4 linked regions of the Drosophila melanogaster genome follow. The protein of the gene in region 1 interacts with the protein of each later gene in a pairwise test. Each region holds a gene or a part of one and is shown in the gene's direction. Other genes may lie near its edges.

Region 1 (6,287 bases):
GGCATTTCTTGCAATTTACTATTGAACTTTGTGGCAACGTCTTTATGCTTTCATTGCACAAAAGAGTGCTAGATTTATTTTCTACGCAATTAACAAGAGTATATACTTCATACAGTACCAAACAATTCATGTGCTCGCTTAAATATTTATCTGAACATTTTCCATCTTTACTTCCATTTGTTGAAGCACATTAATCGGCATAGAAGCAATGAAAGGAAATCGCGAGGAAACCAGTTGGACAGGAAACTCCCACGCTCCCACATCACTCCGTTGACACCCCTCCCTGCCTTTTCGCACCATGGCCATTCACTCTGTGGGCTCGGCACGGAACTCTCCATCCCGCACTGGAACTGGAATCTTGAGTCTCGGCTCTGGAATCCCGGGTCTCATGCGAACCCCTGGCAAAAGACCAGTACAGTGCTCACCGCTGTGATCGCGGCATGTGCCAAAGGCGTCCACGCCAGGTTACGGTTTTATTTTGATTTCGGCTCTGACTCTGATGAGTCCGTGCCCATGCCACGCGGCCATGTCCCCAGGTTGTCCCCGACGCCCACCGGTTGGTTGCCCACTTGGTTGTGGCCAAACTGATTAAGCACAGCTGAGGGTTCAGTCCGCTGCTTTTAGGGGTGAAATCGACACCAAAATATGAATACGTCTACTAACACGACGGATTGCAAATAATCAGGGCTTAAAAGAACTCGACTATAAAACATATGGTTGGCTATGATGGAGGAAGATAATTAAAAAATCGCAAAAGCTACAAGATTTTTGATGTTACTTGGATCTTCAGAGCTTCTATTGAACTTGGAATGATTGACTGGGTCGTTAAATTCGTTTTCTGCATTGGAAAGTGGATATTCGGTCTAGTCCAAAATGGACCTCTTGAATCACAGACAACAACAGAAGCTGCAACCTGCTGGGCCAACTTGCATTTTGTTTATCTGGGCATTTTAAATTTATAATTTCTTGTTTGCTAGCGCCTGAGATTGTTTCCCCCGCTCCTTTTTTGTTATTAAGAGTTTATTGCATTTTGCGCTTCCATTTTCAAGTGGCTCGTACGGCATTATTTATGGGAGTAGTTCTATGGCAGTGCGCTAGAAATCCACTTCAGCCGACTGCTCCGTTTGCAGCCCATCATCTGCTCCAACCCGGCGGCTTCGTCCTCATCCTCCATCATCGATATGGAGCAATGGCTTCATTTCGAGTGACACTTGTCGCTGGAGCTCTGCGGGACTGGGTGCCTGCCAGCTCGGTGCACTTTCCGCTGCTTTATGGTCTTGCCCGTCTCCCAAAATGGCATTGGGGTCGGTATGACATTCGGACGACTATGGACTGTCGATTGCCGTCCGCTGATTGCTGATTGCCGCTGAGTTGTTTTGACAATTTAATAGCCGAACCGCTTGGCGGTGACGCTTTATGTCACAATTTGCCCCAATTAATTCATTGCGGAAATCAAGGTAATTAGCATGGAATCACATGGTCTTTTCTTGCTCTCATTCTCATTTAAACTTTACCAGGAAATATTGTTTTCTCAAACGATAAATTCAGGGCAATATATTTGATTAGAAAATACTGTTTTTGAATAAAAATTTGATTACTCAATATATATCCAAATTCAATTTGATTTTAATTATTATCGTTTTAAAAGCTTAAGCAATTTTTAATACTCTGCCAGCAATTACATATCAACCTTAAATTATCTACAGATGAGGACTAGTTCAAAACACGAATACTAAACGAAGACAATTTTGATGTTAACGACCTTCCTTTTGCATCGCTCAGTTTTTGGATTGTAAATAGAAAAAATCATATATTTTGAGAAGAGCGTCTGACTATATACATACAGCATAGTGTTATACCATATTATCACAAAGCAAATGTTTTGTATGAAAATAAATTTATACATTTTTGCCCTATGCAGGCGAAGTATCACTTCACAGTCTGCCCCAAAAGCCACTTTGCCGGGGCACTTAACACTCAGCAGAATCCAATCAAGTCGATTGATACAAGATTATGTATTGATTCGACTACTGCTTATTGAAAATTCCATAAATTAGCAAATGAAAAACAGAGCGTTTGGCGCTAATGAAATCTCGTACGTCTTTATGGCGCAACCTAAACAAAACGGCTGGAAATCTCCGATGTCCGAGCACGGAATGTGCTTAATATCATTAAAATCAATAAAATAAACAACTAATTTGATAAGCTGACAGCTGGGCTACCCGAAGTGGCGGGCTATTCGTCCGCCGTGACAATGAGGAGCGGGCTGGAAAATGCATCCCCGCGAGCTTTCAATTGGCTGCCCGTCGGTCCAATCAGCATTTGGGCCCCCTGCACAGGCGCACGCCGCACGCTGTCGGCCCACCACCCAATGGCCAACCGCAGTGGGTGTTAATTTTCGCGAAACCAGTTTGCCGAGCGAGAGGGCGCTATGGTCGGGTGGGTTCCAATTGGACTGAGTGCGCAGCCTCTGTGCTCTTCTGTCCGACTCTGGAGCATGCGAGGAGGCGGCCATTTTCTTAGAGTTGTCGCACTCGCACCCATGGCTCAGGCCTATCCGACAGAGTGGTGGCTTGTGCCGAATACACCATGGCAAGCGCAACTCACCACAGGCAGGTCATACGCCTGGCCTGCTCGCACTCGCGCTTTCGTTACCCTCTATTCATTTTACGTCGTGCATAGGTCGATCCCATTCGCACGCATGCGATCGTCGGCAGATATTTTCACGAGGCAACACAGCAGCGAGTTAGAATTTCAGGAGCATTTCAGTCCTGCTGCGCATCTTGAAACGTCAAGTCTTGGCATTCGGTTAGCGTCAAGTCTTGCTGCGATTCGAACGCCCCAGAAACGCATCGCGCGCGAGTGCATTACGTAAATAAGTATCAAGTCGCATGCGAAATATCTAAGAGCGAAATAAGCGCACAGTATATACAGCTAAGTGAGGTGACCTCAGTGCGTGATGGGCTCATTGGCCTAGCAAAGTGCGAATCGAAAACTTGTAGTTCAGTTCTTTCTGAATTAATTTTAAAAACATATAAGCGAGCAATAACACTGTAACCATGATGATGAACGCCTTCATTGAGCCGGCTCAGCACCACCTGGCCAGCTACGGGCTGCGAATGTCGCCCAACACCACCGCCAGTAACAGCAACGCGCAGCAGCAACAGCAGCAGCAACTGGAGATGACCCAACAGCAGCAGCAACAACAGCAACAACAGCAGCAGCAACAGCAACAGGATCAGGAATCCGCGGCGGCCACTGCTGCAGCCTATCAGAACTCCGGATATGGGCACTTTAACAGCTATGCCTCCCGGGACTTTTTGCTGGGCAGGAGGGAGGCCGAGTACGGTGTGGCAGGATCCGCCGGACAGGCCTCCGCCGCAGCGGATTCCATGCTCTTCTCCGGCTTTCCCGCTCAGGCCGCGGAGCTGGGCTCCGGGTTCGGACAACACCCCTTCCACAGCCACCATCACCACCATCAGATGCGAATGGGCATGGCGGATGCCTACGCCGCCGGCCACCCGTACAACCACCACGGCAACTTCCCGACGGCGGCAGTGCACCACCCGGTCGTGCACCACCCGTCCCACCACGCCATGTCCGCGATGCACCCGGCCGGAGCAGGGGCCTTCCTGCGCTACATGCGCCATCAGCCGGCCTCGTCCGCCTCCAGCGTTAAGCAGGAGATGCAGTGCCTCTGGATAGACCCCGACCAGCCGGGCCTGGTGCCCCCGGGCGGCAGGAAGACCTGCAACAAGGTATTCCACTCGATGCACGAGATCGTCACCCACCTGACCGTGGAGCACGTGGGCGGACCCGAGTGCACCACCCACGCCTGCTTCTGGGTGGGCTGCTCTCGCAACGGACGCCCTTTCAAGGCCAAGTACAAGCTGGTCAACCACATCCGCGTCCACACCGGCGAGAAACCTTTCGCCTGCCCGCACCCGGGTTGCGGCAAGGTCTTCGCCCGGAGCGAGAACCTCAAGATCCACAAGCGGACGCATACAGGTAAGTGTGGCGGTGCATTCCGCTTTATATTTAAACCATATTAAACCATTCATTAAACTAAGAAAATACTTTTATTTAGTTTTGGTTTGGCAGTCAAATTCTGTGTGTAATTATTCCTGTTTTATAAAGATCTTAATACTAATAGAAAGTCGAAGCCTTATGCAGATTTTAACCGCTTATATTTAGAATAGCACATGCTAGGTCTGCAATCTCTTAGAATTCACCTTGCGTGGGCATAACCCTTGCCCGCCTGGGCAAATCCCGGACGTTGTCGATGTGAGCGTGTTACCGACGGCAAAAGTCGTTGCAACGCCCACTACCTGGCTTAACCCGCCACTGGCCGGGCGGGTCATCTTTTATGACACCTGTAAAACCTGCGCCCAAAGCTCTTCCGCGCCCAGAAAATCCCGCAAAGATGTTGTCCTTACGGCTAGGATTACTCTACGGCTTTAGGTTGACTTCGACTTTTGGTCTTAGTATTTCCCTAAGCCTGCGACTTCTCTTGACTTTGGATTTTGACTGGCATGTATTTAACTACGTTTGGAAACTTGGTCAAATTTGTAAAGGAACTGAAAAATTTAGTTTAGCTACTCCTTTGTTTTTTATACTTTAAGCCTTGTTGTCGGCTTCAGATTTTGTATTATTTAATAATAATGGCTTACTATTACTTTGATAGCCAACCGCTCTATGCAAATTCTCAATATAATTAATTTTTCTTAAATCCATCATTAATCATGCCCATTTCAAGCATTTCTCTTTCAATTGTCTTTCAAAAATAAATTAAAATCGCTTTGCAGCTCATAGCCTGAACACTTTTGAAAAAACATAGCCATAGTTGGAGGCTTTAAAATACAATTTATGCGGTATAGTCGTGATCTATGAGAAGTCGAACTATAAAGCCAGAAACGGAGCTTAACGCAAATTAATGACTTTGATTCCAGTGGCTGTTGAACTTGTTCCATTGAAATTTATGGCTGAGCATGTAGGGCTCATTAGAAGCGGCGAAACACAGCCATTAAAATCAATTAACAAGTGGAAGTTGGGAAAGCAAACATGAAATGCGAAAACACAAAACAAAGTTTCGCATAATTGGTGAAAAGAGCGCCAATCAGGTTAATAAACTTTCCAGCAAATATCGCTTGGTCCTGGATTATCCTTGATTGACCTCAGCCTTGGCGTAATTAACTTGGAAATTGGAGGAGAAGAATGAAAATATGGCCAGCAATATTCCGCAATATCCAGCATGCTTATATTTTGTTGTTTTAATGTTGGCTTTTGGCATTTGTTGTTGCCTCTTTATTTCTATTATTTTGTAATTTGGCCTCATGATTCCAAATTGAATTAAAATAAGACGTCGGGCTTCATTATAGCTTCATCTTGTAGTTACCGCGATTATAAACTCACAAAGAAATTCATAAATCACAGAATTAGCCACACAAAAAAGCTATTTCTGTAAATCTGTTCGGACAACAGTATTTTCTTTTGCACACTCATCGAAAGGTAATTAAAATGTTTCGATTTGATTTCGAGACGCCGCCATATTGTGTTCGATTTTGGAACAATCATGTGGCATTATAATGAGTTGGTTGCTGTATGATGATATTTTTGACTAATTTCATATTTCTTTTCTCCGCCGTGATGCAGCAGAAAAGTGCATTTTAGGACCTCTGACTGATTTGTGTGTGCCTATGATTGGTTGACCTGGCTACACATTGTCGGAGATAGCCAACATATTGATTAGCTTTCAAGTGGCCGGCGCACAACTTCATTACGGATCGGGATCGAGCTGGGATCGGTCTGGTATCTGGCTGGGATCGGGGCCTTTAACCTTTCCATACGACTCGGGCACTTGAAGTAGCATCCTCCACACCGCATAAATCAAAAATTCAATCAGCATCGCTGGCTCGGCTAAATGTCCCTTGGCACTGGTGTTTGTTTTTATTGCATTGACACCGCCGACCCAGGGCAAATAAACACACTCGAACACACTGTGTTGACACGTGTCAAAACTTCCGTTTGAAATGGCTCGGAAATGCTTCCGAGGCACTCCGTGCTGGCCCTCTCAAAAAAGCCATCGAAACCGAAATTGGGGTAACACTCGCCGGATTACTGGACGCATTCGCACATTCGCATTCCACTCCTCTAGCTTTATTTTATTTGCGCTGCGATTGTTTCTGTGCTGTTCTGTTTGGGTTACTCGCCATGCTACATTAAGCTTTTGATTTAGATTATGCAAAGGTTATTTACGACCTGGCTTCCACTCCTCGCCGATGGGACGG
Region 2 (5,938 bases), on another chromosome or scaffold:
ACGCGGTGGCTGCGATCGTTGCTCCCGACGAGGAGCATGTGGTCGGAGCAGACACTCCGGTCAGGGATGGATCATTGGTGACCTGGGCGCAGGATGAGGCCATCTTGTAGCCGCAGTTGCTGGCCTGCACATTGAATACTAGACCATCTTCGCAGGATCCCGAGTGCAGAACGTTGTCCTGGCAGAAGTTCCAGCCACTGCAGTCGGAAGGGCTTCCAAAGTAAAAGCCATTCTTGACAAGATTGCATAGGTTGAGGGCGACCGACACAGTGGAGCCATCACCGGCGGACTCGCTGCATGGATAGTTGTTCTTGTACACACAGGCCATTGTGGTGGGATTGAAGTTCTCGCCGGCAGGACAATTGCCCCTCACAGCGCCGGAGGCTCCGCAGTAGTAGTAGCCGCCGCAGGACGAACTGGATGCCGCGAAGGATCCCACCGCCTTGCCCAGACAGGGATCGGAGTTGCTGGTGCAGGTGCTCGGCACAGTGCCCGTGCACTGCTGGGCATTCTTGTCGAAGTAGTAGCCCTGGGGACAGGACATGGCCGTGAACGAGGATCCCTGGCACTGGTAGTAGGTCGAGCAGTCCGACTGGCTGGCCACGTAGTTCCCATTGCTGACCAGCAGGCACAAGGCGGTGACATTCACATCGGCTATTGCTGGAGCGGCACAGGCGATCACCAGCGCCACGGCAGCGAGGATGGTTGCTTTTTGTCCACCTGGAAGCGTTGAATATATTCATATGATGTTCCAATTTTTCCTGTTTCGAACTTTTATATGCGATACCCACCCATTATTTGCTTCTTCTTTTGGTGGCTCCTAGTTGAATACTGTTTCTGGTTGATGGACTTCCTGGGCTTTTATTTGCAGTCCAGCCAGGAGTTATCTTCGATCCGCTGGGCTGTCCAAGTTGATCGACGACCCTTCAGCTCAGGAACCCATTTTGTGATGTATCGCAAGCGAAGCCAACGAACCATTTTTGCATGATCGATGGCCATTTTGACAAGTCAACAAAGTTTTTGTGGGGATAAGAACTTTCCCAGAACTCAGACGGATAGAAATTTGGGTTCTTTTTATTAACTCAAATGTATTTTTTAGACTGCGTTTCTATAATTGGAATATTAAAAAGTTAATGTGTAAATAAAAGAGCAATAAAGAATTACATCGTGCTCTAAACTTATAACAGAGTTCGCATTTTAAAGCTAACGACTTTATAATTGTTATAATTGTTTAACCAAATGTATATACTTGATTAAATTTGAATGAGTTTTTTACCGAATTATATAATTCAAGTAGTACCATATCAAGAAGTTCTCCAAATATGGTCCTTTCTATTTTTTTTTTCAAACAAATCAATTAAACGAAATGAGATTAGAGTAATCTAAATTAGCTTAAAATTACCTACATATTATATGGCAAAACCCACACACTTTGTTTTTAATAATATTGACTAATTGTGGCGATTCCTAGACATATTTGTTACTATCGGAACAGAAAAGTTGGACTTATGTGGTAAAGCCCAATTGACTTTAAAAAAACAAGTAAGCTAGTGTAGTTCCTCGACTTTAAGATACTCAGTACTCATTTGAAGGGAGTTCAAGGACACTAGATTTTTTATATGTGGTTTACTTGTTGTAGCATACCTATACACCAAGTAATTTTCACATCAATCTTCTATATTCTTATACAATAGTATCTTTCCTTTCAACGAACACTCTGTACACTCATTTACTCTACGACTATCAGGTACAATTAAAACCGACGATCGGCAGATTATTTCATAAAGTTAGTTTAATCGTAAATAATTTCACAATAATGTATAATTTTAAACAGTAATCTCAATAAGTATGTATGTCAGTAAGAATCGGTCATCGTGGACTATTAATAGCATAATGTCGTGTGCACCTGAGTCAGCAGATCGCAGGCGATAAACATAATAACATTTGATTTTGAAATAAAGTTAATTACTATATGTGTAATAAATTAAATTAGACCCAATCTAAAGATAGTAATTATAAACAAGCGGATACGAATTCGACAACGAATACTACCAAAAAACCAAAGGTATGACCGCACAAGTTGACAAAAATAAAAACAAATTGGGTTTTAAATGAACTGCGCACCGGCGTTGGCCAAGTTTATCACTTGTCAAATTTGGATTTAACCGAATCTGATAAAAGTGAAATATGAATACGTCATGCGTCCATTTTAGCCACTGAAGACAGTTCTAGACTAACTTAGAGCTTCCAAAATTTACAGACCTTTCGGAAAACCCAAAAGTAGCGAGGGCATAAGCATTGTCTTTCGATTTGTATTTATTGGCGAACTTGGATGGCATCCAGTTAGACGTTCTTTTCCTCGTTAGCCGTTAAGAGGTACTTGTATCTTTGGAATACTAAAAGTTTGCTGAACTCGAGATGGGTGAGTATCTCTGGCACTAGCAGATATCCATCGAAGTAACTATATTGTTGTTTCGAGAAGAATTACCATTTCATAGACAGATATAAATATAGAAAACCGTAGACTTAGGCTCAAGAAGTTCATAACGAAAACTCAAACATTTATTGAAAAAAAAATATGCAATTTAAATCGAAATTGAAAGCATACTTCACTTGCAACTTATTTCGAATATCGTACTTATACCCTTTTATGCAAAACAGACACAAAGCTCGCCTTCATTTCCGGACTCATCATGATCCCCACGATATCAGGCGCCCTGACCTTCAATGCAACTCTAATATGTAGCTTGGTGGTCAACGGAACCAAGATGAACGATCCTCGGGCGTGCAACGCGTGGATTCAGTGCATCGATGGGAGCCCTGTGAGTGGTAGCTGTGCGACTGGACTCTTCTACGACCGGGAGAGCCAGAAATGCCTGAGTTCCAGTAGTATCAAGTGTCTGTCCAGTGATCCGTGCGCTGCTCTGCCCACCGGATTCGCGGCTGATCCGTACTCCTGCAATGGTTATTACTATTGCAAGGATGGCAAGGGGACGCACGGAGTGTGCAACACTGGGATGAATTTCAATTCGGGAACGCAGGACTGCATCCGCGATTTTCCGTGCTCGAATAAAATGGACCCGGATAGCTATTGCAACATCTTGCCGGATGGGGTCTTCGTCAAGGACACGGACAACTGCAATGGCTATCAGTTGTGCTGGGATGGCCAGGTGATCAATGGAACCTGTCCGGGCACCTTCTACTTCAAGGCCTCCACGGCCCAGTGCGATTATCCGCAGAATGTGGAGTGTGACTTCGTCCCAGTGCCAGATATTAGCAAGAAGGGTGTATGTCCAGAGACGGGTGGATTTATATCGGATAACAAGACCTGCAATGGCTACTACTACTGCAAGGATTTGGGCAATGGAGAGTTCTCGCTGGAGCATGGCGTCTGCTCCGATGGAAGATTTTTCCTGGCCACCGATGGCGGAGCCTGTGTCCCGCGATCCAAGGTGAAATGCGGCTACGATCGATGCGTGGGCTTGGGCAATTCCACCATTCAGCTGGCCAACGAGTCGGATGATGGCTGCAGGGGCTACTCGATCTGCCAGGATGGCATCGTCATTGGCCAAGGAACTTGTCCGCAGGACGAGTACTTCGACGAAATAACCCAACGGTGCACCACCCAGGTCATATCATATACCGCCTGTCAGATATCGGAGGCAACCACCGGGTCCCAAGTTCCAAGTGGCACCACCACCACCACCAGCAGCACCATCACTAGCACCACCATTGCGGTCCCGGTGTCGTGAGCAGCTCCTCATAAGTATAAGTAGTGCTGTTATCAGGCCCAAGTCCCATACAAATTATAGATCAGCTCTTTGTTTAGATTTCGTGGAATTGATCACAATACAAACATCTGAATTTTCAAATGTATTTAGGTATAAAAAGATTATTTCGAAAAGCTTAGTTGTACGATTAAAAGTTGACTCATTTGTGAACCATCCGAGCCATAATATAATCTTATCCCGCCTGCCAGAAAACGTCGGCTGATGAATGGCACTATCAGCAATATTTTGGTCTCGTGAGCGACGTACGCAATCAGTTTTAATTAGACAGTTTGTTTTTTCGACGCCGATACAATAAATATAAGTGGTGTAATCAGGCGCAATAACGATTAAGTTACCAGATCACCTCTGGGCCAAGATTTCCTTGAATCGATTGCCGAGCAAGACACTCGGTAACGTGAAACCGTGATGTCATACTCAAGAACACCACTTGGAAATTTGGCGATGGGAAAGTACCAGGGAGGTAGCCATTGGATCCCATTCATGGCCCATACATGGGTGATATCACCGTTTTTAACAACTGCAATAGGAGATTTGAATGGAAAAGTACGAAGTTATCGTACTACAAAGTTGATTATTCAAACCACTTTATTCATTAGGCACCATATATGTACATGTACATATGTCTATGAGGTGTCATAACAAGATAACTTATATTATTGAGTTTTTCGGAATTTGTTATCGTTATTTGTTATGATCAATAAATACTAATACATTATAGCGAGGCTGCAAAGTTGCCCCGTTTGTCATTTGAATACTTGACCTTTCCTACATACAAATCAATCATCCGCCCTGTGGACTTGTATAACTTCCTTCTTAAAGTGGACATAATTGATTTCTATGGAGAACGAAAGCGCGTCGATGCATTTCATTTGCATTTCACACTCATACAATATTTGTGGACCTAATGGGTAACATCGACCCTAATAGTTGAATTTAATTAGTGATAGACAAAAACGACCCTTGGGCGTTGGATACTTCTTGCTCGCCTGATGGCCAACACGGAAATAAGCGATCGCGGCAGCTCCGAGTAGCGAATTCATTATCTGGACTATCTGGAATCGGTTTGAAATTCTCCGAACCCTCCACTGGGGTACAATTTTAATTAAAACTGATAATTTTTTGGGCACTGCAAGTGTCACGAAAACAGATTGCCAAATATGAATCGTTGTGTGGCGCAGTTTTGATATCAAAAGGGTTGCCAGAAGAATTTTATCACGCCAACTTCGTTTCGCTAATGAACATTTCCGCCAATGTAGTTCAAAAATCAGTCCAAAAAATCATAGTATTTCTCTAGCATTATTTATACCAATTCATATTTTATTGTTCAAGGTTAGGGTAACATCTTCTATAAAGAGGAAGCAGACGGTAAAATTCGAATGGAAAGGGAATAAAACTACAATAGAGCCAAATGCAATGGATAAACTATATATATATACATTTCAGGTTTCAATGGAGTAACACATTTATTGGACATTTTTCGAGAAGCTAATATTTGTAGACCCATTTCCATGGTAAAAAGTAAATGGATGAATGTCATAAAACTTAACACTTCCCACCACAAAGTACATGAATTCCTTTCAAGCAATGCATTTGACCTCCACCATGAATTGGATCGATTTATTGGATATTTAAATTGGATGCGATTTGGTAAGGATTGTGGTAAGGATGCGATCTTCTGGGACAGCCTACACGGAACATGCGATGTTGTGGTAGTTGGTCTGTGTGCATCCCTGGTTGCGCTCGTCGAAGTAGTAGCCCGTTGGGCACTGGCCCAGGCTGACGGTCACTCCGCCGGAGCAACGTCCATAGCTCTGGCAATCGCCGGCGACGTTTACGTAGGTGATGTTGGTGCCCACACACCTGTCCAGCTGGCAGCGTACGTTAAGTCTGTCGCGGCACGAGAGCTTCTCGAAGTCGAAGTACTGGCCAAGTGGACAGCTCAGGTGCTTGGGCTCCGTGTCGTGCTTGCCGGCGACGGGGCTGCCACAGATATAGTAGTGGGAGCAGGACTCGTCGTCGGCAAAGTAGCCAACGCGAGCGGATCCGGTGGCACTGTCCAGGCAGAAGGTGTTTTCCGGTTCCGGCAGGGCGGCACTCTCGTAGCAGGACACCTCAGCCACATCCACGCAGTAGCCGAGATTAGCATC
Region 3 (6,258 bases), on another chromosome or scaffold:
AGAGATGCAAACGTACATTAATATCGTGAACATATTCTTGTAAATCCATATGTATGTTTCTGCTATGGCTTTCAGAAGTGTGCACTTACTGTGATTAAGAATATCGCCGGTGACCAGGCCGATGTGGCTGTTGGACAGCCAAAAGGCGGCATCCTCGGCGATGGACTGTGCAATCGGCGCCTCTATCTGCTCAAGGATCTCCTTGCGACGCAGCTCCTTCTCCTTTTTTCCAAAGGCTAGACCCTCCTCCACCGTGCGAATGAACTCTGGATGGAAGCATGTCGTATCACCCGGAGCCACCAGCCATTGAATCACTCGTCGGCCGTACGGGCTGCTCATTAGCGCCTTTAGATCTCCGTGTAGGTGATCGTAAATTGCCTTCTTGGTCGCCTTAGTGTCGTCCAGTGCGTTTAGCAGCGAGATGAGGAACACGTGGCCGTGCTCATGGTTGGCGATCTTTAGCAGGTGCTCCTTGATATTCTTGATAATGGCCTGAAGAAGGGGTTAGAATACATATAAGATTCTGTTTCATCAACACACGTTATACGTGATCCACTTACTCTGCGATTCTTGGGCGTCGACTTGTAGAAGCATATAACAGCCGCCTCGCTGCCCTCCTTGGTGGACAGCATGTGAGGCACTAGAGCCGCAAACGCAGTGACCGTCTCCTCCAGCTTCTCCTCATCTTCGTCGCAGGCGCGCAGGTACTCCAGCATCACGGCGTGCACCAGCGCACTGTCCACCAGCTGCTTGTTGGCCACATGATCCAGGTTTGCTTTAACCGACCCCAAAATGGAGGCCTTCATGTTCGTGGCCTCCTTATAGGTGTCGCTCAGAGTCTTCACATTCGAATCCTTGGCCTTCCGGTACAGATCGCCGTAGAACTCCTGGCGCATATAGATGCGCTGATTGGGTGTGGCGCTCTGATACATCGAATCCAGCAGCCCACTGCCGATGCTGTGTCCGGCCAAACGCACTATATGTCCGTACAGGCTGTCCACCAGCTTGGCTTTGGTGGCTGGCGCACCGTACTTGAGCATCCGTTGCACGCAGAACTGGGCGTATTTCGACTGGCACATCTCCACGGTGAAGGGAAGCAGCTTCTCAGAGATCTCGGCCCGCAGAGCTGGCGACGCGTACTTTAGCATGCTCTGGATCACGCGGGCGGTGTCGTGGGCCTTCACCACCTTTGAAATAGTGTCGCCCACGTTGAGCACCTTGTATATCTGCTCCACCAGCTTGTCCTTGTTCTCCGTTCGGCGGCTGCAAGACAAGCACCAAATTATGTTGATATATATATATCAGAGCAATAGGATTTGCGCATTCATTAGTTGTAATTTTACGAAAAAAAAAAAAAACGCGACAGAGGATAGAGCTGGTTTGTTTATGACCAAACAAAACAGCATGCGCTAAATAGGCGTCTTTGGAATCTACGCTCTTGGTTCTAACTCAACATTTATACAGAAATACAAGGCTATATTAACTTAGTTTTGATACTGATCAAAATGCTTAACTAGCTATTATTGTTTCAAGAACATGAATAAAATGTTTGGTGTTTTTGAATTCGAACCAAGTGGCAATGTTCGGTTTTTCCACGAACAGGTGCTTCGTTTTGGGATCCACATGGCCATGTTTATCGATATCTTGTCCTTTAAGGAACCAAAATGACTTATAATTATTAAAACTATATCGTATAGATTGATGCCTTATGAAATTTAAACAACTTTGTACGTTCTGAATGTACATAAGTGCATGAAAGAGCCCGATTTTGTTGAGCTATCATAATTTGTATAGGTAATTTGAGCGCTAAGGATGATAATAACCGATTGTTTGGGCTGTTCATCGTGTTTTTGGGGATGCTCACCATCGCAACTTCTCGTGGATCTGGTTGGCCTCCTTGCTGATCTCGTAGGTGTCCTTGGCACTCTTGCGCTTCAGCTTGAGGTCCTTCTTCTCCTTCTTGAACTTGTTCCAGTCCTGTTTCTCGCCCTCCGCCGGCGCCTGTGGCTGTGTTTGTGGTTTTCCGCGGAACTTGTTGCCACCAAGCCTCTTGTCGCCGGTGGCTCCGGATTTGTCAAACTTCTTGAAGCCACCGGGCCCAGACTTGTCGAACTTCTTGGCACCACCAGCGCCTGGCTTTACAAACGACTTGCCTGCTCCTCCGCCGAATTTGTCGAACTTCCTGGCGCCTCCTGCTCCACCGGGCTTAAACTTCTGTCCGTTGGCGCGCTTGCCGGACGATTCATGGGCCTTGAGGGGCGAGGCCGTGTTGGCCACGTTAGCAGGTCCTTTCGGCTCCGAGCTAACCATCTTTGCTGCGTTTTCTTGGACACTACAACTAAATAACAGCAAATGTTTTTGCCAAAAAAGCGAACTACACGTGCTGCTGATGCAGAGTGACCAGATTGTTGCAGTATACCCAAGCTGTGTAAATACCAAAATCTGGTATTTTCGTTCCACATACAGTAAGTATCAATGAAGTGCTTCTATTTGTTTAAAATTTAACTCAAGTTAATGCGTTCAGTTCAATTTGACTTTCCATTTGAAAGCGGCTAAAAAATAATAATCCATGTCTAAATATTAAATTTAAACTCTTCCTAAACTAAGCTCCTCAATGTTGATTACTTGTTATAGAAGGTCAAATAATTTTATGCATGTATTTGCGTCGTTTTATGAATATATGTATGTATTCATTCCCAAAAACATATTAGAATTGGTCTAAAAATTGAAGGTACCGATTTTTCATTAACGGCACTTGCCAACACTGGCTTTGCGGGGTAGCAGCCGTGTTTCTCGCGCTGGCAACCCTGTCCGGCAGAGTTCACGCACTCGGGCAACCTTGTCGTTGGAGGTGTTCGCGAACGTCGACAACCCTAGCGGCAACAGTTAAAAAATGGTGTGAAACGGCGACGGAGAACGCGGCGTGCAACTGTTGGAAGCCACTGCTTGGTCCTCGTTTTGGTCCCGGGTTCTGGTCCTCCTATTGATCTCCATCTCCGCCCGGCCACCAGCTCGAAAGCGCACCTACACATCATAGTTTCCATAGACAGTCCCAGTTCCACATCCACTCCCCCGCCAGCCAGCCAACAACAACAAAAACAACAACAGCAAGAGAAACAACTCAGAAGTCGAAAGGAATCTGGGAACTCCTGCGACTCCCCCGCGCAATGGGCACCATCTCATCCGTGCTGCAGTGGTCGTGCACCAAATGTAACACTATCAATCCCACGGAGTCGCTCAAGTGCTTCAATTGCGGCACCGTCCGCAAGGTGTTCCCCCAACAACAGCAGCAGCAGCATCGCAGCAGCAGCATCACCGCCTCCTGGACAGCTGATGATGCACTGGAGCAGGAGCAGGCGGAGAAGGGGCAGGAGAGGGACAAGGAGAAGGGCAGGGCGGCGGTTGCCAGGTAAGCGAAGCGGTCGCCACAAAAACAAACAGCCTGTATGCCTCCTCTGCGAGGATGTGCCTGTGTGTGTCTGTGTCTGTATGCGTGTGTGTGTGTGTGTATGTGGGCGCCAGTGGTGGCATCCAATTGGAGGACAAAAGCGCTAGCTAAAATCATGTCGCATATGGTAATGTGTATAGAAATCGGTGGCGTTTTCAAATCCAACTTTTTTCGCACACACATTGTATGCACACTTTGGAAAATATACAAATACACAAATATGTACATACTTTCATCGGTAAAATTCGTCAATCAAAAACCTTAACTTTCAAAGAATAATAATACCAAAAGCTTACCAACGTAAGCTCCTATGCTGAACTTTAATATCCAAAGAGCAGACCGAGTAAATCTTAGTAAATTTTATAGTTCTCACTAACCCTTTTGTGCATAATGAAACTTAAAGAATAAGAAAACAATGAAATCGGTTAGGAAAATCCTGATTAACTATCCATAGGAATAACTCGAATGGGAGTATAGGAATAAGTTGAAAGATTTTTATATTACGAACTTAAGTTTCGAAAGGCTAGGAAAAGGTACAGTGTGTACAAGTACACAGTTCAAAAGTCTAGCTTTAAAAGCCAAGCCGTCGGCACTGGTGATTGTCCCTGAGCGTGTGTGTGTGTGTGTGTGTGTGTGTGCGCGAGTGTGTGTATGTGAGAGCATGTATACACAGCAGAGGCAGAAGCAACAACAAAACAGCCGAGGAGCAGCGAGAATTGGGGAAAATCGATTTGGATAAAGAAGCATTGTTTACAAGTTTATCGATTCGCGAACTCGCTCGGCGATCTGAAGAGCAAAAGAGGTGTAGGAACAACTTCCGAGTCGAGCGGACGAGCGGAGAGTAGGAAAATGGCCAGTCATTGAGATAACCTTTGCGGTCAGGAAGTGGGGAAAGCCCAAACAGCTCAAGAACACCGAATCCCATCCAAACCCGACGAAAAACGAAAAACCCCATTTCCCTATTTTGCAGGAGCGAGTACAAGCATGTGTACAAGTCCCTGCTGCGCGGATGCTTGAAAAGACCACAGCGGAACAGCCAGAATCTGCCCGCCAACTGCGTGGATTGCGAGGACACGCGCAAGTACATCAAGAGCTCTATTGAGCTGTACCGCCACTTCTCGAATCCGGCCCTGAATCGGCGGTGGGTGTGCCACGCCTGCGGCACGGACAACAGCTCGGTCACCTGGCACTGCCTCATCTGCGACACGGTCAGCTATCTGGCGCCCATTTACAAGGACGCCATCGCCGCCGACCGAGGCCAGGATCTGGCTGGCAGCCTGGGCAATCGCGGCGAGCTGCTGGCGGCGGACCATTCACATCCACATCATCATCACCACTACCTCCACCAGGAACTGGAGGAGCAGCATCAGCATCAGTTACATTCCCAGCACTTGCATAAGCGCCACCTCAAAGGTAGATCTGCATCCGGATCGGGATCCGGACCGGGCTCGGGTTCTGGACTGCGCCGCACCCAGAGCCTGAGCACCGCTATCGACAAGAGCGCTTCCGGGCGCAGCTGCCACATTTGCTATGCGAACAACCAGAGCAAGGACATCTTCAATCTGCCGCAGATCAAGCCGGCGCCGCAGCTGACAGGTGCGTTCATCAGCTAACGAACTAATGAAAGGTTAAAGGTTACTTGAGGAAATAACTATAAGGTATTCTTATTGGCCAGCCTATCGTTTCCAAATTTTTACTAGAAGAAACTCTTTAAATGGACAACCGAATTATTTAAAGTCTATTCTCTTTTTGTAAAGTTCTTAATCTTAGTCAGATCATGATGAAAGTGTTAGCTTCCCATAACCGGAATGCACGCACTTGTTATCCGATAATCCAATTCTAATCCCTATGTGTTTCTCGCAGGGATTCCCCCCGTGGCCGCCTGCAGCAACTCCCGTTTTGCCATCGCCAACGACACTTTTTGCAGGCGCAAACAGAACAACAATAACAAGAACCAGAATCACAAGGTGGTTCGCGAGAGCGGTGCCAAGCGGAAGTACAACTTTACCATCACCACGCTCTCTCGGTCGGCGGCCAAGGATGCCGGCCATGGCCAAATGAAGCCACTGCGTCAGGTCGTTAATCTAAATCTGAATCTACAGCAGGAGCCGCAGCAGAAGTCACCGGCTAATCCGCAGCAGCTGCAGCGGAAAACCCAGCGGGAGCCAGCAGCAGTGAGTATGAATCCCACGCAGTTCACCATTCCGCGGAACGGCGTCTTCATAGCCGTCAACGAGTGGTCGGAGCCAATGGCCAGCAGCTCCTCCGTCTCCTCTAGCTCCAACCATCATCATCACCATCACAGCAACAGCAATAGCAATAGCAGCGGTAACAGCAACATCATCAACAACAACAGCAGCAGCTCCAGCGGCAGCAACAAGTTGTATGAGAACGAATGCGTGGCCCTGGCCCAGCAGCAACTAAGAGCAGCTGCTGCGCAGGCGGCACAGGCAGCCGCGACGGCGGTGGCCATTGCGAGTTCGCCATCAGCTAAGGCTATGGCCGAACCAGCTCCAACGGCTACCATGCCCATCTATGCGCAGGTGAACAAGCAGCACAAGCTCAAGAAGAAGCAACAGATTGCCAGCGAATCGCAAACGAACAACAACACTGGCAGTGGCGAGATCGCGGATGCGGTCAGTGAATCCCTTACCGCCGGACTAGGCACTAGCACCGATGGCAGCGGCGAGGCCAGCGAATCCGAGTCGCAGGTGGAGGAGCACTCCATCTACGCCAAAGTGTGGAAGGGACCGCGCAAGGCGACCGAGTCGAAAATGTAATTGGCAGCTAGCGTGCGACCGAGATTAGTC
Region 4 (4,144 bases), 2.5 Mb from region 1:
CCACAGGGGCCACAGCAGGGCCCGCAAGGTCCACAACAGGGTCCACAACAGGGTCCACAACAGGGTCCACAACAGGGTCCGCAACACGGTCCACAGGGTCCGCAGCAAGGTCCGCCCGGTGCACAGCCCATGTTTTTTTTTAATTTCTGAGAACTAAAAGAAAAGCTATTATACCAACAATTTTCTTAAATAAAAAACTACGTACAAAGTGCTGAACCTAAAAAGCTTGGAAAAGAGCTCAAATTTTGATGTTCTTGGGTTAAGGGAAAGATGAAAACTGATGTTTGCTTACATAGAACTTGCACAGGAAAGTAGAATATAGATTCAAAGCCTTCTAGATTTAAAATAAACAAATGCAAAATTAATAAAAATTTTATATCAATGCCCTAAAAGGAATTTAATTTTGTTCTTTAGTGAATTTTACAATAACGTGCTTAAGAAAATGTCCTGCCGTAGCAAGCAGTACAACTGATCCAGATGGGAACAACAAAGAACGTCCTAGTGAAGCTCGTCGGAAGGCAGAATCAATCACCTTGAGACGTCATTCGTGTAAAATAAAATGGTATTACCAAGAACGTCTCAACCATTTCCATATAGCAACTTGTGCTCGCAGCGCAATACAATCTGCTCGCTTAGTATCCGGCTAGTGTTCCTGATCAAGAAACCTACACCCACATACATATTACGAAACGCATTCCTATTATGTCAACGAGTAACGCCGAGTAAGAGCAATGGTGAACTATCCCAATGATAACATGGATCTGCATTAAGATACATATATATATATTTGTGGCTTTTAACTTTCAGGTGTTAGTTTAACCATGGTGGGATTGTGGTATGGTTTCACAAATCGATTCGGCTGCCAATTGCGAGCATTTAGCACCAACAGCCACCGCAACAACTGCCAAATGGTCCGCAACAAGGTCCACAGGGTCCACAGGGTCCACAGCAGGATCCGCACGGCCCACATCGGGGTCCACAAGGTCCACAGCAGGGACCACAGCAGTAATATCCGCAGCACGATCCACAAGGTCCACAGCACATGATTAATTCGAGAAGTCTAAAATAAACGAAATAAATATGTATACTATTTTAACTTTACAATAAACATTTTTACCAACGGTCTTTAGAAGCCAAAAAAAAAAAACAAGTATTTGGGACAAAACAACAAAATTTTGATGCGAGCAGCACAAGGGTCGAGATGAGAATGATATATTTTCCGAACTTACAAGGTTAGGTGGGTCTGACAGGTCAAGAACGATTTCCATAGCCTACTATGAATTCGAATTATGTTTATGTACAGCGGTTGATGGTTAAAAATAGTTATTATTGTTATAGAATTATTGTTATCGGACATTTGTCCGTTTGCAGACAAATACTATTATTGAATGAGGTTTAAATTCACGGTTGCAGGTTTTATACCCGCCACTCGTAGAGTAATAGCTATGCTATAGTGAATAGAAGAAAAGGTTATTTATTCTTGAGCTGGATCACAAGCCTAGTCGATATGAACGTAGGATGTTCCTCCGCCCCCTCTAACGATCGCAATCCACCAAGAATTGACAATTTTAATTTTCGCAATTATATTACATAAATTATTATTGTCACGCATTTGGTATCCATAGCTAAGACAAAGGTTGCACCATTTAGAAGAGAAAAACCATCGGAAAAGGTATTTTGAAATTCTTATTTTATTGACTAGGCCCGCGAGCTAAGAAGAGTTTATCCGCATTCAGTCCTAAGTTCCACTTTGTGGTTCACAGGAAAAAGATATTTTACATGTTGTGGTTGTTGTTCAGCACCCGCAATATGGCCTACAAGGTCCACAGCAAGGTCCACAAGGCCCGCATGGACCACAGCCCCCGCAGCAAGGACCGCAAGGACCGCAAGGGCCGCAAGGCGCACAGCAAGATCCACAAGGACTACAGCAGGAACCGCAAGGACCACAGGGTCCGCAAGGTCCGCAAGGACCGCCGCACGGGCTACAGGGTCCGCAGAATCCAAGGGGTCCGCAACACATGATGGTTCCGTAAAGTTCTAAGAAAAATTTTGTTAAAACTTCGCATGCTTACACTTTGAGAAATACTCACTTTGAACCTAACAAAGAAATAACTTAGGACGAAAAAATATTTCGATGATTACAGGCCGAGAACCAAAATAAGAATGATGGAAACCTGACTCACAAGTTGGTATATGAATTTGACAACTGTCGAAAATATCCATAGCTAACTAGATTATGGGTTTTGGGATACCAGAATATAATAATAATAATGAATATAATTTGTCGGATCATATTAGCCTTGAAATTCTCATGACTGCTGTCAAATGAAGCTTCGGCTAATTTGGATCACATTCAGTCAGTTCTCCGTTCCACCTTCAATAGTTAACACCTAAATTTTCGGTTCCTTTCGATTCCGGTTGGGAAATATCTTTTAAGAAACAAAATCATGTACATGTACGTCAACCCGAATTACGTTTTGGTTGGGGTATGTATTTATCGGTCTCGTAAGTCGAGTGAATACTTTTAATATGATTTATCAGGGCCCCTGCTGTGGCCCCTGCGGCGGATGCGGACCCTGTGGTGGATGTGGCCCCTGCTGTGGTGGGTGTGGCCCCTGCTGTGGTCCTTGCGGAGGATGTGGACCTTGCTGCGGCGGCACCAGCAGTTTTTGCGGTTGCGGTCCTTGCTGCTAAACCAGTTGACCCGGAAACCTGTCGGAATACTTCCGGGAACTATGTAAATCTCAAAAAATAAACTGTGTGGGAGACAACAAATTATATATTTTTGTTTCTTATTGAAATTAATAATGTAATGTCCTAGTCAACGTAGCTTGGTAGTAGCGGCATCGAGTAAATCAGCTTGTTCCAAAAGTTCGGATGGCTTCTCTCCAGATAGGTGTTAAATGCCATGTAGGTCCTTAGCTCGCTATCCAGACTGTCGAAGTTCTTCACGTTTGGATAGAGCACCACTATCAGACGCTTGCACCGATCGCGTGAGGTGGCGTGGAGGGCCAGTCGGAACTCGAGGCGACCCCAAGTGGAATTCATAAAGTTCTCTGTCATGAGGACAATAATGCGCCGCGAGTCCTTTATAGATTGACCAATGCAATCGGGAATAGATTCGCCCGCCAGCCAGTCTCGCAGGTAGAAGCAGAGTTGGAACCTGGGCCTACCACGTTCCAGCCTATCCACGAACTCCTCCAGCAGAGCCTCGTCCTTATGGGTAAACGCCAGAAAGGCATCGAACCTTTTGTCCTTATCAAGTTCCCGCTTGGCTGACAGACTGAGACACACACCGTGCTCATAGAACCAGACCAGGACCGGTTGTCTGAACCATATCAAAAAGTTTAAGGCAATGATCGTGGCCACTAGGGAGATCGCGAGTGCCAAATAATAAAAGAGGTCAGATGGACACACAATATGCTGATTAATCGAGACTAGCTTCTCACCATTACTGCACTTTATCTCAGTGAAGTCTACTATACTTGAAGACACACTCTTCATGAAATTTATCTTTTCTATATCGTTGCAAGAACAAGACCAGGGATTGTCAAGCAAATGCAGCTTTAACGATCTGTTCTCGATAGAAGAACGATTCTTCTGTGACAGGGCCGTAAGGTTGTTATTCCTTAGGTCCACATAGGTAACCCTGCTTGAAAGTGAAGGCATCTGTAGAAGTCCTTCTCCTCTGCAATCGACAATAAATGATGGCCATGTCAAGTTATCCAAGCAGCAGACACAAACATCTGGACAATCCGTTGGAGATATATTGCAACGTTTCAACGTGACGTCATACTCAAGGGGTTCGTGATCTCTCAAAATGGAAAGGACTGATCTCGACTTACAGTCGCAATTCCAGGGATTCCCAGAAAGTTTAGTTTTAATTGAATTTTTCTTAAGGTAACTCAGGACTTTGTCATCCAGGGTAACGAGATTATTGAAACGTAGATCAAGAAACCTTAGTTCCTTTGGTAGCATTGCGATGGTTATGTTTGATATATTATTTTTAGATAAATGCAGTTCCATAGGACTAGACATATTTTGTTTTCACATAAGACGACTATTTCTAGCAACGATATCGGGAAAGTTATATACAAATTTATTCCTGCAGTCTATTTTTAAAATAAGTGAATCGCGGCTATAA

What was found.
Region 2: the proteins of opa (region 1) and CG6996 interact in a two-hybrid assay, tested with the Drosophila melanogaster proteins (one large-scale study listed by BioGRID).
Region 3: the proteins of opa (region 1) and sol interact in a two-hybrid assay, tested with the Drosophila melanogaster proteins (one large-scale study listed by BioGRID).
Region 4: the proteins of opa (region 1) and Mst84Da interact in a two-hybrid assay, tested with the Drosophila melanogaster proteins (one large-scale study listed by BioGRID).

The regions. Positions count from the first base shown.
Region 1 is NT_033777.3:4,850,047-4,856,333, forward strand, and holds the start of opa (odd paired), read left to right. Parts: upstream 1-2,766; 5' UTR 2,767-3,059; coding exon 3,060-4,008; intron 4,009-6,287. UniProt on the Drosophila melanogaster protein: Transcription factor essential for parasegmental subdivision of the embryo. It is involved in the activation of wingless (wg) in odd parasegments.
Region 2 is NT_037436.4:20,205,207-20,211,144, forward strand, and holds CG6996 (uncharacterized protein), read left to right. Parts: upstream 1-2,327; 5' UTR 2,328-2,418; coding exon 2,419-2,422; intron 2,423-2,659; exon of another isoform or gene 2,660-2,661; coding exon 2,662-3,752; 3' UTR 3,753-4,394; downstream 4,395-5,938. Other genes in the region: CG7290 (uncharacterized protein), read right to left, coding at 1-720, 792-795; CG7017 (uncharacterized protein), read right to left, coding at 5,477-5,938.
Region 3 is NC_004354.4:21,347,442-21,353,699, forward strand, and holds the start of sol (small optic lobes), read left to right. Parts: upstream 1-2,838; 5' UTR 2,839-3,167; coding exon 3,168-3,409; intron 3,410-4,193; exon of another isoform or gene 4,194-4,320; coding exon of another isoform or gene 4,321-4,325; intron 4,326-4,418; coding exon 4,419-5,044; intron 5,045-5,311; coding exon 5,312-6,224; intron 6,225-6,258. Other genes in the region: peng (penguin), read right to left, coding at 90-492, 561-1,263, 1,865-2,310. UniProt on the Drosophila melanogaster protein: Has a role in eye development. Calcium-regulated non-lysosomal thiol-protease.
Region 4 is NT_033777.3:7,363,486-7,367,629, forward strand, and holds Mst84Da (Male-specific RNA 84Da), read left to right. Parts: upstream 1-2,364; 5' UTR 2,365-2,447; coding exon 2,448-2,486; exon of another isoform or gene 2,487-2,541; coding exon 2,542-2,694; 3' UTR 2,695-2,777; downstream 2,778-4,144. Other genes in the region: Mst84Dd (Male-specific RNA 84Dd), read right to left, coding at 1-131; Mst84Dc (Male-specific RNA 84Dc), read right to left, coding at 877-1,044; Mst84Db (Male-specific RNA 84Db), read right to left, coding at 1,796-2,020.